2 linked regions of the Mytilus edulis genome follow. The protein of the gene in region 1 binds, or shares a complex with, the protein of each later gene. Links are inferred from orthologs where the notes say so. Each region holds a gene or a part of one and is shown in the gene's direction. Other genes may lie near its edges.

Region 1 (7,832 bases):
TATACTAACGTTATGGTTGGTAAACCAAGAAAAATGCTTATTTGGGTCCCTTTTTGGCCCCTAATTCCTAAACTGTTGGGACCTAAACTCCCAAAATCAATACCAACCTTCCTTTTGTAGTCATTAACATTGTGTTTAAATTTCATTGATTTCTATTTACTTAAACTAAAGTTATTGTGCGAAAACCAAGAATAATGCTTATTTGGGCCCTTTTTTGGCCCCTAATTTCTAAACTGTTGAAACCTAAACTCCCAAAATCAATCCCAATCGTTCTTTTGTGGTCATAAACCTTGTGTCAAAATTTCATAGATTTCTATTAACTTAAACTAAAGTTATAGTGCGAAAACCAAGAAAATGCTTATTTGGGCCCTTTTTGGCCCCTAATTCCTAAAATGTTGGGACCAAAACTCCCAAAATCAATACCAACCTTCCTTTTGTGGTCATAAACCTTTTTTTAAAATTTCATAGATTTCCATTCACTTTTACTAAAGTTAGAGTGCGAAAACTAAAAGTATTCGGACGCCGGACAACGACGACGACGACGCCGACGCCAACGTGATAGCAATATACGACGAAAAAATTTTCAAATTTTGCGGTCGTATAAAAACTATTGTTTTTACACTCAGCCTGCCTTTGTCTAAAAATTCTTTTTTCTGAAAAAATTCTGTAGATAGACTATGGTACACAGAAGAAGATGTAGACTTTATACACTAATACTATGCATATGGTATACAGAAGAAGAAGTAGATGTTATACACTACTATACATATATGCAGCAGAAATAAGCAATACATAATACATACAACAGATATAAAGATAAGAATTGCCTAACAATTTGCTTTGACTGATTGCTATCACAATCATGACAATTGTAACAGATATTTATAATGATGTTATAGGCCGAATTTGGTTTAATATTCTTATGTTTGGTTTCATTTCATTCAGTAGTTCTCTTAAAGAAGACATTTGTATGTATTTCCTATAGGGTACCATTATCTGGCTGCCATCTTGGATAATGGATCGGGTACTATGTAACAACACTTGGTCAGCACCTCATAAGGAACATTCATGCCATGTTTGATTTCATTCCATTTAGTGCTTTTCTAAAAGAAGACATTTGTATGTATTTCCCATGGGGTAGTAGGGGTACTGTGTTTAACAGAGTCCCCCCGCTGGCGGCCATCTTTGATGATGGATCGCTTACAAAGTAATAACACTTGGTCAGCACCTCATAAGGAACATTCATGCTATGTTTGGTTTCATTCTATTCCATGGTTCTCTAAAAGAAGACATTTGTAAGTATTTCCTATAGGGTCCCATGTTAAACTAAGTCCCCCTGGTGGCCATCTTGGATGATGGATCAGCTACAAAGTAACAACACTTGGTCAGCATCTCATAAGGAGCATTCATGCTATGTTTGCTTTCAATCCATTCAGTGGTTCTCTAAAAGAAGACATTTGTATGTATTACCCATAGGGTCCCATGTTAAACTAAGTCCTCCCTGGCAACAATCTTGGATAATGGATCGGGTACAAAGTAACAACACTTGGTCAGCACTCCATAAGGAACATTCATGCCATGTTTGGTTTTGTTCCATTTAGTGGTTCTCTAGAAGAAGTTCAAAATGTTAAAACTACCACAACGGACGATGGACGCCAAGTGATGAGAAAAGCTCACTTAGCCCTTCGAGCCAAGTGAGCTAAAAATGTGTAATTGGTCTTTATAATTATCTATTATCATGATTATGATCTGCTATTCTGAATTTTAAAATCTAAACTTCACAGTCATATATGTATATTCAGAGTATCAAATAAAAGAACCCCAAGATTTAAATTTTGTAGAAATTAAACAAATTTCATTTTTATCATTTTGACCTATAAATGAGGACCAATTTAAAAATGAAGCCCAAAATCCATATTTCACATTCATTACATACATGACATACAAGGTTGGATTCAGCATATTTAAGAAATCCCAAGAATTCAAGAATACGCTATCTATTCAAACATGAAAAAAAAAAAAATGTTTTGGCTCCTTTCTCCGAAACTGACAGAGCAATAACCCCCAAAATCATTCTCAACTTTCCAGTTTTTATATAGATCCTTGTGGTTCAATTTCAAGAGAATCCACAGACTTGTGCTTATACTCAACAAGAGTGCACACGCTGAAATGTCTCTCCTTCTTTACTATTCATTGATATCATGTTGATAGTCTTTAATTGAAAGCTTTATTTATACAACATAAACTTTGCTTGTAAAATACACCTTAAAAAAATAGGAAGGGTTGTAGACATGGTAGATGTAGATGTTCCTTTTAATACATGTAAGAGGTAAATGCATGGGAATGATAACTTCCTTGGTAATATAATTTCCAGTATTATGACATTGTGACATGTAATTACAGCGTCATTATAAGTTAACAATGTTTGACTTTCTAGTACATGTATATATCATGTAAATGATGTATATATCAATTTGAGAATGGAAATTGGGAATATGTCAAAGAGTGCCTTTTCAATCAAATCAAATCAAATAATTCTATTGGTGTCAATTCCAATACAGGAATGATACCAGCAGACATTTACAAAACACAAATACAAAAAATAAACAATAAAACAAATATAAAGACACATATTTTATACAATGGGGGTGTTAATCATACTACATTACAAACTCAAGATATTACAATATAAGCTTTAAAACTACAAAAGTTCTTAACAACATTATGTTTGCTTTAAATGAATGTTTGAATCATACATATCGCTTATTCCAGCTACAGCTATACGTTGAATTGTGATGTCGAAATTTTCCAGGAATCAGATTATCTTTGCCCATGTTGCCCTCACCAGTTATTGTGGAAAAATAGCAATAAGGTTATACATGTAGTTTAAAAATGAATACATTTACCATGGGCATGATGGGTGATAAATGAACCAGGATCTGATTTGACTAGTAGTCTCCAATACACCTTATCTCTATTTGTCGACATTACTGGACATCACACGTTTCCGTAAAAATTTTGACGTCATAATAGAATCTGGGTCCATTCGCCCTAGTACCTGTTCGCCCCGATACCTGTTAGATTTTTATTTTTTTCTAATTGTTAGATACATGGTCTAGTCGCATAATTTTAAGTATTTTAACAAAATATGTTAAAGTTTGTTGAAAATTGACAGAATATTTAAATTGCTGCAATCAATGTATCATTCTCCCTTTGATTTGCAGAGTAGAATACTTGGAATACAATGTATAAATTTATCTTTATTGATATTTGTTAACAAAATAATTGTATTCAGCTGTAAATCACAAATGTATGCATTTCAACTGAGACTAGTCCCACTGAGAGTATTATAATAAATGAACTTGAAAATCTGTTTCATGATTTACAGTTCGTACACCAATGAATGTTTTTATTTATTTCAAGCTGTTTGTTTTTATCATTGACATTGTTTATTATCATGATTATTATAATCCTTCAAACGACAAGTTTCACAAAAATCAGTGATCGGAATTATTTTGTCATTGAACAATTAATGATCCTAATGATCATAAACAAGCCATAAACTGTTAAATATAAGAATATATATACCATAGAAATATCTGAATAAGTTTATTCAACTTTAATCACTGAATGCCCTGAATATTAATATTTTTAAGTAGGGCGAACGGACTCTATGGGCAAATGAACTCAGGGCGAATGGACATAAGGCAAACATGTCATTAGGGTGAACGTACACAATACCGTCATAATACAAATACATTGAAATAGGAAATTTATTTTAAGTTGGGTTATATATGAAATACTACAAATGAAAATCGGATTGTTGTATGACATCAATAGTTCAAGCGGGACAGATTCTCTGGTCAGCCGGGAATAAGCGATTAGGTGTATTTGACCAGGTGCTGAAGAAACTAGAATTTGCCCAACAAAAGGCAACATCATGAACATGATCGATCGCCCAACTGAAAAGGAATTCCTACCCTATTTATAAAAGGTAGCCCTTCAACAGACTGAGCAGTCTTCACGACGAGTGGCAGCCCAGGCTGGTAAAATTGCTCTCGGGCCTGTAAAAATCAGACCTACAGGCCAACAGAATCTAACTAAATATTTTCAAAAATTGAGCTGCAGGCCTGTAGATTTAGCAGTTCAGCGTGAAGACTGTCAGACTGAGCCAAGAAGTTTGTCATGAGCTCACCACTTATGATTAACTATCTACTATATGAACTAAGTAATCACGTAATCGAGCTGTATGATTCTTTTGTAAACAGAGCCCTATCTCATGAGATTTCGACTTCATTCGCGTCCATAGGCGTAGTGTAGTTTAGATTGCAATAGGTGCGGAGAACAGTGAGTTTGGATTACAGACGAATATAAAATGATTCTCGACAAACTTATAATGTCGTGTAATTTTTCTTACCCAAAGCGACTTCTAAGAGGGTCTAAACAGGTAGGAAAGTCGTTCGTTGTCGAGTTGGCGATTCCACAAACCGGAAGTACCGGAAGTTCAATAAAAATCAAAACATTGCAAAATGTCTGGAAAAGGCAAACAACGTGGAGCCGACATAAAACAAGAAGATATTCTACAAGCTGTTGTCATTGCAGATACTTTCAATGTTCGCTTTGCACCAATTACAGAAAAGAAACCCAGAGTAAAATTCAAATTTGTACTGCAACTGCCATTCACTTGTTCACAGCATGATGCAACTTTTTTCTTTAATTTGCTCATCATCTTTTATAGTTTTATCCTTGTATTCGTCATGTTCATAGATTGTAAAAAATTGTAAATATTAATTTGCTTCATGTAAAAAGTATACAATGTATAGTTCCCTTATTTTAAGAAATGTCCATGGAAAGATCTCTATGACTAGTTTTATGACAGCACACAGCCTAGTCCAAATAATTATGAATGTACATTGTAGGACAGAAAGTCACAGGACAAAAACTTAAAAGTCACAGGACAAAAAGTCACAATTCATTTTTTCTGATTATTTTCTTTGAATAAAAAATGCTTATTTTTACAAAAACATTTTTGTATTATTCTTGAAGTATTGTATATTAACAAACTTTGTAAGCAAAATTTATCAAAAAAAATATCAAAAATGATCAAATAATTGTTAAGAAAACAAAATGTCAAAGTAGATAAGCACTTAAATGCTTCATGGTGCCAAGAAATATATCCTTTGCATGATTAGAATTAAATAAATCTTCATTTTTCAAGTAAAATGATAAATTTCCTAAACTTTAATATGAATATATGTATAAAAAGTGAACATTTCAAGATATTCTCTTCTATATTCAAACATTTGTCAACAAATTATTTGTGACTTTTTGTCCTATCAAATTTCTGACTTTATGTCCTGTGACTTTTTGTCCTGTGACTTTCTGTCCGTTATAATTATGACGTCTGGCAAGGCTATTGTCAGATTGTAGGAAGGCGTCCCAGAAAAAAATAAAATAGCCTTGCCAGACATCATAATTATTTAGACTACTCACAGCCATGGCATAATCATGATAATATGTCAATTTGATATCGTCATGTGTCATGTTTTCATATCAGGGTAACATGAATGACAGAATGACTCTGTTATTATCGGAATAACACTTGTAATGACTGAATAACACTTGAAATTGTAATATCAGTTCATATTGGTGACTTTAAACATTGATCATGTTGATTGTTTCATAATAGTATATTATCGATGTAACTTACAACTTAAAAATGATTTAGATAAGCAGATATAAGTTCATAAAGATCATTTTAAATTGAATGTGTACATCGAACATGACAGCCATTGTGATTTCCGTGGTCCCGTATTGGATGTACACACTAAATTTAAAAAGTTTTTAATGAACGTTAATCTACTTTCTGTAATTAAATCATTCATAAGTCGTAGAACATGTAGTATACATGGAATACATTTGTACATCAATTATATACTATTAGTTAATAATGTTTTAAAGTCACCAATATGTGCAAATATTAAATTTTCAAGTTTTATTCGGTCATTTCAAGTGTTATTCAGATATTGACAGTGTTATTCCATCATTCGAGGTACCGTTCATATCATCCATTTTTCATCGGTGTCGATTGAACACGCTGGTAATGTGTTTTTTGGTTTCTATATTTGATACAACAACATTACAACTTCACAAATTTGATATGTATTAAAAGTCGCTTTATAAGACGTTAAAACAAATTTAAGAAAACTGACCTGTAGGATAAGCCATTTTTATTTAACCAAAAATAATGTCTTTTGTAGACACCCAGTGCCAATCTGAAAAATGAAAAAAAAATCACAATGTTACAATTTCATCATCTATATGAAACATCAACCAAAAACTTTTTTACTGGTTAGTTTAAGTACTGTAAAACTTGTATCAAATAACATGTAATTATAATTCTAGCAATTACCAGAACCACAACTATAGAAAATACTTATTTTAGGATTTAATAGTCATGTCCTGTCGGTATACCAGTATACTGATCCAGGTTTTACTTCATACAAAAACATATGACATATATATCACAAAACATATGACATATATCACAAAACATTATGACATATATCACAAAAACATCATGAACATATGACATATATCACAAAAACATATGACATATATCACAAAAAAATTAAAAACAGTAAAAAATCATAGTAAACCTTGACTAAAAAATCTAGATACCTAAACACATTTGACAGAACATGCTTTTAAAATTTGAGTGCACACGTGAATAAAAACTTAACAGTAAAATTTGTAAGCAATATTAATTGAAAATTTATTTCTAGAAACTAAGGTGGAACGTGGCATATTGTCAATGAAATTGACATGAAATTTAAAACATTGTCATAGGTAAAATAACGATAAATAGATTATCATTGGTCATGTTGGTCATCTGAACTGGATTGCTTTTTGGCATAGTAGCCCACATCTCAAATTGTGTACCCAAAATATATAGTTCTATACAAGAAAAGCAAACATTATAGTAGCCCACACCAAATTTTAGGGGCCATTGCCGAGTGGGCCCCTGCTAATTTCAAATCCATGTTAGACATTTAGAAGATCAACAATAATCTTTAAGGAATTTTATGTATTTTATTTTGATTGTTGCAGACATTACTTCCTGTGGTTAATGTCCCTATGTTGGATTATACCTTGGAATTTCTGGCAGCCGGAGGAATCCAAGAAATCTTTGTCTTCTGTTGTCATCTAGCTGATCAGATCAGAACACATATCAGGTATATTCAGTTAGAACACATATCAGGTATTTTCAGTCAGAACAGTGAGAACACATATAGCTCAACATGCAGACTTCTTGTACGTTCAGGCTTAAATTAAAATATTGTTTGTTTGCAGTTTACCAACCGACCCTTGAAAATCCTCCCGACCGTGAAAATTTTATTGCTTTAAATTTGAAGATTTTTTTTTTAATACCTCTATTGACGCGATCCGGAACTTTCGGTCCTTTCCGGAAATGATTTAAAGTCTGGGTCAATTACGCATTTCAAGTTCGGTTTTTCTTAGCTTCCCGTCAAGCGTTCATGTGACCATTTAATGATAAAGCACATGGAAATTGTTTACAGGTATTCATGAAGTCACGAAGGAGAACTTTACGCTGTCGTCTCGTATCAATTTTAAGACAAATAACAAACAAAAAAGTTTATTAGTAAACTGTTCATACAGATTCAGGCACATGTAATGATGTGTGATGATATCATTGACGATGATGCAGCGGATATTCATAACTGACACGATAACCATTCTGTCTCAAACAAATCGGGTTCAGAATCTGTGGAGCCTGACTTTATGGAACCAATTTCAGTGGTTAAATAATT
Region 2 (8,118 bases), on another chromosome or scaffold:
CTCGTTGTTTTCTATACGATAGAAAATCTGTAATCCACTCTAGGAATGGATTAGTTATCCCAAAATTTTCGATTTTCTTAACGAGTCGTCTGTGGGGTACTGTATCAAAGGCTTTCATGAAGTCTGTATATATGCAGTCAATCTCATAGCCATTGTCTATAGCTTCTGTCCATTTGTCTATTACCTCTAATAGTTGTAGTGATGTCGATCTCCCAGAGATAAATCCGTATTGTTTGTTTGAAAATAGTTTATTTTCTTTCATGTAATTAATTATATGTTCTCTTATTATTTTCTCCATTATTTTACAGACGACTGATGTGAGACTTACTGGTCTATAATTTTTAGCTTGTGATTTATTCCCTTTTTTGAATATTGCACTCACTAGGGCGCTTTTCCAATCCTTTGGAACTACTTTTTGTGTTAAAGATTGGCTAAAAATGATGCCAAGTGGTTCAGCTATACCTTCTTTGACTTCAAACAGCAGTCTTGGGTGTAAATTATCAGGGCCGGGTGATTTATCCGTTTTTATTTTCTGTAGGTGTTTCAAAACCAAATCAGTGTCAATATTTAGTTCCTCTATTTTTTTTATCTAATGGAATATGCTTAGGCTCTGGAATATTGCCTTGTGGTTCATTTTTGAATACGCTTGTAAAATATTCTGATAGTATCTCAGCCTTTTGTTTATTGTCATCTGTTTTTTCGGATTTTACATCTTCTGTATCTACATGTAGGTCCCCTATACCTTCCCTGGTCTTTGATTTGGATTTTATATAGCTCCATATAGCCTTTGGGTTTCTTTTGGCATTTTCAGATAATCCTTTATCGAATAATTTCTTTTGTTTATTGACTGATGTTTTGGCCTGGTTTCTGACTTTATTGTATCTGGATCTTGTTTAGTTATAATTTTTTTGGATAGAATATTTTTCCTTCTAATTAACTCTCTCGTCTTTTTATCTATTGGGAATACATTTCTCTTTTTTCCTATTTGTGTCATAGTTTTTGTTGGTACAAATCTGCTCTCTAATTCTTTTAAAATGGTTAAAAAATAATTCCTATTTTTATCAATGGAATTTTCCGCATTTAGCTTATTTTGCCAATCTATTTTATTCAGCTCTTGAATAAATTCTTTGTAATTTCCATGATTGTACAGATTAGCTATTTTCGGTGCTCTTTTTATATTTACATAACAGTTAAAATCAAAGGATAGGACGCAGTGGTCACTTTTTCCAAGCGGGCTCATATATTCTAGGTTTGAAATCATCTCTTCTTCATTTGTGATTAGTAAATCAAGTGTATGGGGTGTGTCAGCTCCTCTCCATCGTGTTGGTTTTGTTGTATGTTGGTACAGAAAATTATCTTGTAGTGCTTCCAGAAAATTATTTTCAGTGCTGTTTGGTCTATCCCCCTTTGTGTTCCATGTTTCCCAGTTTATTTCAGGATAATTAAAATCTCCCATAATGAGTATGTGTGAGTACCCCATATCTGTTGCCTCTGACATTAGTCTACATACATTAAAAGGCCTCTTCCTTCATCTGACTTTATGTTTTTCTCAAACATTTTGTAATTTCCTACCTCTGGTATTGAATATTCCGCTGTTGATGGTTTATATCTATTAGCTTTCGGTTTTACTTCTGTTATACCAATGATATTTGGTTTGTTGTCTCTTGTACGAACGATCAATTCTGACATTTTGTTGAATAGCTGATCCGCATTAGTATAAAAACAGTTCAATTTTGGTAGAACTGTAAAGTTATTTACATTGCCGTTAAAAACCTTTCCCTTCTTTTGTACATTTATATTTACATTTTTTGTCTCTCTTTTCACCTTTTTATTTTTACTACTTTCCTCGCCCATGGCGGTCCCCGCACTTTGAACAGGAAGTCCCCCGAGTTGTTTTCTTGAAGTTTTTTTGCCTCAGCCCACAGTCTCTTTTCTTCTTCTCTCTCACTTTTAGTTAGGTCATTGCTTACATTTACTTTTTGGTATTTGGGATATGATCTAATATAATGCATGTTTCTAAATAGGGTTAGTTTTGAGTCTATGCTCTTCAAATGGACTAATAGAGGTCTATTTGTTTTTTCTTTATCATATTTCCCTAGTCTTTGTGTTTTTCTGATGTTTTCAATATCCAATGTTATCTTGGCATCTTTAAAGAGTTGGACTATATTCTCTACATCATGTTCTATTCTCTCTTGTTTATTTTCCGACTCATTTTCTGTTATCCCAAATATGATCAGATTATTTTCCCTTGTTTTTCTCTCATTTATTTCCTCTAGTACTGTGGTTACTGTTCCTTGATTTGGTAGCACTCCACCTTCAATATCCTCGGATACAACATTAGCTACTGCCCCTCCATTTAATGCTTCTTCTTTAGCTATTTCTCTTATTCTTTCCTCGTCACATTTGTGTTTTATAATCTCCTGGCTAACTATATCTCTTACTTCTTCTTTATCACATTTCTTTTCTATTGTGATTTCTATATCATTTATTCTTTGCTCATAGTTGTCCATGATCTCTCGGCATCTCTCTTCGATTTTCAGATCAGTAACTATGTGTTCTTCAACTACTTGTCTAAATGGGGCGCAGAACCACATTGTGTCTGAGTTGCTTAATATTTCCTATTCAGTTTTTGATTTATTTAAGCATTTTATGCAAAAATGCTCTTTACATCTTTGACATTCAAGGAGTTTAGCGTCTTCATTTTTATATATCTTTTGGCATATTTTGCATTCCCATGGGTCTTCCTTTTTTTGATCGCTTGTTACATTTGAAGTAGATTTATTCCTTCTTGTTGCCATATCTACTACTATAGTTAATTTATTTATTTTTATATAGGGCTTCCCTAAATGAAAATAAATTATTTTTTTTTTTTTATTTCATATAATAGAGCTTCTCTATTGTTAAAGTAAGAAATGAGTTATTAATATTTTTATCTAGTATTTTAAAATTTAGGGCTTCCCTTAAATAAAATTTCTCTAGATAATATTATTTATTTTCCTGATATTAGATAGAGCTTCTCTCTCTATAATTTTTTTTCTAAGCTTGTTGTCCCTTTATTCCGCTCTTTCCTATGTCCAATATTAGGGCTTCCCTAATAGAATTGATCGTTAAGTTGTAATCTCCTTTCTATTTATCAGGACGAATAGGGCTTCCCTATTCGAACTAAATAAGTATGAAGTATGTTAATGCTAGATAGAGCTTCTCCATCTATTTCTAGGCCCCCTGTAAATTATTCTTACTTGTTCTATACTTAGTTTTGCTAGCTATCTCTGTATGGTCTTTTATGTTGTTAATTCCTAGAAAAACAGGGCTTCCCTATTTTTCTAATATTTTTATTCACTTTTTAATTAACTTTTTATTCTATGATATAATAGGGCTTCCCTATTCTTTTTATTGGTTGAGTGATGTTGTTGATTTTCCTCTTTTCTTTATAATTAAGGCTTCCTTAATTATATTTCGCAGATTAATTATTTCGGATCTAGTATGTTAAACAAGGCTTCCTTATTTAACTATTTTTTTTGTTTTTATTGTCTATTTTGCTGGCTATTTATTTAACATCCTTGCTCTGACAGTTCAAGTGCTAAATCTATGAATTTCAGCATCCACAATTTATTTACAGCTCTTATGGGATGTACTCCGTCCGATGTTAGGTTGAAATTCTTTCTATATTTAACTTTCGTGTCTCTTTTTGTCTTGTTTGAAAGGATAAAATCCTGAGAAATTCTTGGTGTAGAATAAAGGCGGTTGATCAATTTTAGGTGATCGTTAAAGTAGTCAATCTGTTCACTTAGTTCTTTGTCTATGTTTGTTGCCAATTGGACTTTTCTGTGACCTTTGGTGGCTTTATTTACCAGGAGTGACGGATATGTCTTTTTTTACTATTCACAATTAAGTTAATTGAATCTTTAGGTTTATTGACCCTTGTGATCGAATAGTATGGACACTCTATAAAAAGCACTGTGGCAGATGGTTTGTTGTTATGATTTGTTGTTTGAGATCCCTATATTGTGTTAAAGTTTCTTCTATATTTTGATACGGTGATTTTCTAAACTGGATGGTTTTGTTTTTCTTCTGTGTAATTTCACATGTACCTAGCCAGATCAGTATTATTTGATGATCCAAGTCTTTCACCGTGTCTATGAGTGATTTAATGTGTTTTTTGTTGTCGATCGATCCTCCTCTCTTATACAACACTTTAAATTTCTGCCCAATTGATTCTGGGATATATTCTTTTAGACCCACCCCTTTGCTGTCCGTGAACAAGATAGTGTCTCTTCCCAGGTGTGCTCCCCTAACCCTTTGGTATATCTTTTTTCTCTCTTTAATTATCTTCCTCACAGACATATATATAATGATTGTTACTACGACTGTATATTAATTTAATAGACTATAGCACAAGCGGTGTAAATGAAAAATAGGGCTTCCCTATTTTTTTGTACACAAACAGTATTGTTCTAGGCGAACGCAAAACGAAGTATCTAAATACAAAATATAATGATAGGGCTTCCCTATAATTATATAATTTAAATATCGGAACAAAAAAGCGCAAAATACAGAATATAAATGTCAATTAACAATATGAATGTCCGACTTTCCGGCAACGTGGTTTGACCACCAAACTCTGAACGAAGGATGATATAATCTACATTTTGGTGTTGGGATGATCAAAATTTTGTGTATATGCTATATAAAGGATTAGACCAGAGACATATAATAGTATCGTGCGGCGTTTCATATCCTTAATTAAAATTCCCTAATTTAACTAGTGGGCTATTTGGCAGTTGCTTGGATTTCATTTTTCATGTGAGATTGAGATGAATTGGGTCGATATGGCAGTACAAGAAATTTGGGACGATCCACAACTGGGGCGAGTTTTAATAATTCACTTGTTACGTCCAAGCGAGAACGTGCCTGAGGAGTAAATAAAATAACATATTTATAACTTATAGAATGATACAAGCACTCAAGCAGTAAATTGTAAAAGATGATTAATAAAATTCCCCACTATGACTTCCCTGTTATACAAAACATAACGGCAGTTCTTAGATCTAACAAGTTCATTGATTTACATTTCTTATAATTATAAACGTACGTTGCATGTATGAATATTAACTATTTTTCGGTATTCAACGTTTAAAAACTGTTCAGTGTTTACTCGTTTATTTCATCAGGCAGAATTTGACTTTGTATATATTTAATCTAAATTATAGAAGACAGGTAACTAAATCGTTATTTTTTTTCTTGGTCTATATAAAGAACGACATTTTACGGAGAATGAAGGAGTGGAGTGACAGATTCCAACTGTCAGACGAGACATATTGCAAATTACAGCAAAAATTTTACCAGTTCTGTATTTAAGAATTGAATGCTTCTTTTTGTAACTTTATTGGGGTGTTAAAGCGTTGACTGAAGTACATTTTGTATGAAGCGCGGAAGCCCATAGATTTCAGTGAAGCGGTTGTTGGACAAATCAAATAAAAAAAGTGATAAATCAAATCAATTCATTTGGCTTATTCAAAATCAAAAGATCTATGACTATGCATGTTGCATGATGTAATATGACATGTAATATGAGGCAGGCATTACCTGTAAATGGGGACGAAGTCTGTATGAATTATTTTTTTGTAACTTAATTATTTGTCAAAAAAAAAAGAAATGGAAATACCGTAACGTTTCCGATTTTGGTTCTGTTGTTAGGGATTTTAGTTGTGACGTTATTTAAATTATGACGTCATATGCAATGTAAACAAAGAAACGCTATCATTAGGTAACGTTTTTTCATATCAAGGAATTATTAAAAATGAAATTGGTATTGCGCGTTTCTTCCTATTTTTACTAGACTGATAAATATATATTTTACTCAAAGTTTCATACAAACGAGACCGGAAAAAGGAAGTATATTGTACATTTCTGCGCAGGTCCGGGATTTCAAAACATGACATAAAAAAAATTGAACGATTTTGAGTTCATTAGTACAATGGAAAATTCGGGAAATTTTCCCGAATTTTTTTTTTTTATTGAATTTTCTACTGTAATTGGGGACTTCGTCCCCATATGAATGAAGACTGTACACTTTTAGAATACTTCAGATATTTCATTAACAGTAGATTTATATATACATGTATATGTTCCAGACCATATGAGTATTTGGACTACGCTTACGTTCTTGACCGTATACCTATAGCCTCACTGGACACAATTACGAACGATTTTTGAACTTTAATTATTTTTTTTCTTTGTAGAATACTTTTCTTGAATTGTTTGTACCATAGAATTAAAGATGTATGAATGCTTTTCATTTTGAATCATAACACACATAATTTTCTATTTACGTTTGGATACTTTGGTAAGATTTTCATGACCTGGTTTTATGGGTCAAGCAAGCCCAATATGGACGCAATTACAAACGGCACTATATTTATATATCTGGCAGAACAAATCAATGACAACAATCTAAATTTATGAAACATACATTAATCTTATCTTAAACACATTTCCTAAGAAAATAAGAAGTGTAATATGGTATTTTACTTCAAATTCTTCAGCAGTAGTTGAAGACGAAATTAGTGACAAAAAAATTTCTTTGAAAAGGAAATAATTCAGATTTTTTGTTTTTATGCAAGTTCTTTCACCTCAGAAGCACTGAATTGTCTTTTTAGTTAGTGAACCTATGATTTTAATTTATATTTAACCTTTACTTTCGGAGTTCTTGGGACTTTTCAATAAAAATACTTTTTTCTTCTGACAGTCTGACAATGCTCAGGGTCAACCGAGTCTGAGAAAACGTTCATTTTTGGATTATTTGGCCAAGATAAAGGGTATCACGCATATGAACAGATTCAGGAGATATTTTTCTATCTATATAATGACAAAAGAAGGCAATCTGCCCTAGCTTGTGTGCTTTATTCATGTAATTTCCAAGAGTAGGAGTCATTATTTTGACATTTACGAAACTTAATTTTTCGTCGTCTGCAACATTAACAAAGTGCACATGAACTTTTTTTTCGTGAAAACACAAGTAATGTAGTGGGTTTTTAATTAATAGAAACATTTATTAATTATCATGCATGAATATTATATAAGGGGGCAAACATTAAAAATCGTTCGTAATTGTGTCCAGTCGTAATTGCGTCCGGTAAGGCTACTCATACGTCCATATTCATGAGTATACAGGGGTTAATAAATCCACTAGCCCGACGCCCGGGACTACAACATTTAGACCTCGGGCAACCAAGACTTGCAACCCAAAATGCCAGACGGACTCGTAACAAAAAATTCTTGGCGTTTCTAAAATTGAAAGGGGAAAATTCCCTGATCACTTTTCTATCTTATCCAATCAGATTCAACTACGTCATCCGGGATTCCCAGAATTTGAACTGATTTTGTACAAGTTTTAAAATAGAACAAATAACTCGGGGTGGACATGGTGGATCTTGTACTTTCCGTATCCATGTGTCAGTACAGGGGGTGGTATTGTACATTGCTTATGCAACCTAATTTTACCTCCTTTTGATTAATTTATTGCAATATAAATGTGAATCCCTTTTGACAGCAGAAACCTGACTTTTATCAGATATAAATTTGAAACATGTGCTGATAATTCTTTTACACAAACGTGATGATGATATTGTATCTGATAAAACCCCCTCTAATCCTTTGACATACCCACGTATAGCAGTGGTCAAGACTTGTATCATCCCCGGATTTGGTCAACTCATTTTATCAGAATTTTCAGTGAATATTCATTTATCGATTGATTGAGTATATGTATATATATGGTAATGGAATATTTTTTGCTGATATAAGTTTTGAATATCCAATTTTGAAAAATCTACTGTACAATGCTGTGAATGGATAAAAACTGTTAAGTTTATAGAATTCATTGTTATTGCAGCAAACTTTGAATTTGTAAGGCATACTAGGGCTAGCAGGTCAGTTTTGTTGGGCTAGTAGTTCTTCCAACATGGCTAGTAAAATCTTGCAACCAATTAGCCCTGGGCTAGTAAGCTATAACAAAATTTCTTAACCCCTGGTATATGGTCCAGTACAAGCTGACCATACATGTGATTGGATCATATGAGTTATGTTTAAACAATTTATCACAATCTTTATTTTTAG

What was found.
Region 2: the proteins of translation initiation factor eIF2B subunit epsilon-like (region 1) and translation initiation factor eIF2B subunit delta-like are in contact, whole or in part, in a cryo-EM structure (PDB 7D46), measured with the Homo sapiens proteins. The link is inferred for Mytilus edulis from reciprocal best matches to the Homo sapiens genes EIF2B5 and EIF2B4. Residues at the interface, in NP_003898.2 of Homo sapiens: Arg163, Lys294, Arg339, His340, Glu357; in NP_001029288.1 of Homo sapiens: Arg357, Tyr393, Pro396, Glu397, Lys466, Arg467, Glu469.

Annotation. Positions count from the first base shown.
Region 1 is NC_092351.1:90,196,561-90,204,392, reverse strand, and holds the start of translation initiation factor eIF2B subunit epsilon-like, read left to right. Parts: upstream 1-4,514; 5' UTR 4,515-4,529; coding exon 4,530-4,649; intron 4,650-7,110; coding exon 7,111-7,235; intron 7,236-7,832. UniProt on the Homo sapiens protein: Acts as a component of the translation initiation factor 2B (eIF2B) complex, which catalyzes the exchange of GDP for GTP on eukaryotic initiation factor 2 (eIF2) gamma subunit.
Region 2 is NC_092355.1:77,291,415-77,299,532, forward strand, and holds the start of translation initiation factor eIF2B subunit delta-like, read left to right. Parts: upstream 1-5,082; 5' UTR 5,083-5,186; exon of another isoform or gene 5,187-5,217; intron 5,218-8,118. UniProt on the Homo sapiens protein: Acts as a component of the translation initiation factor 2B (eIF2B) complex, which catalyzes the exchange of GDP for GTP on eukaryotic initiation factor 2 (eIF2) gamma subunit.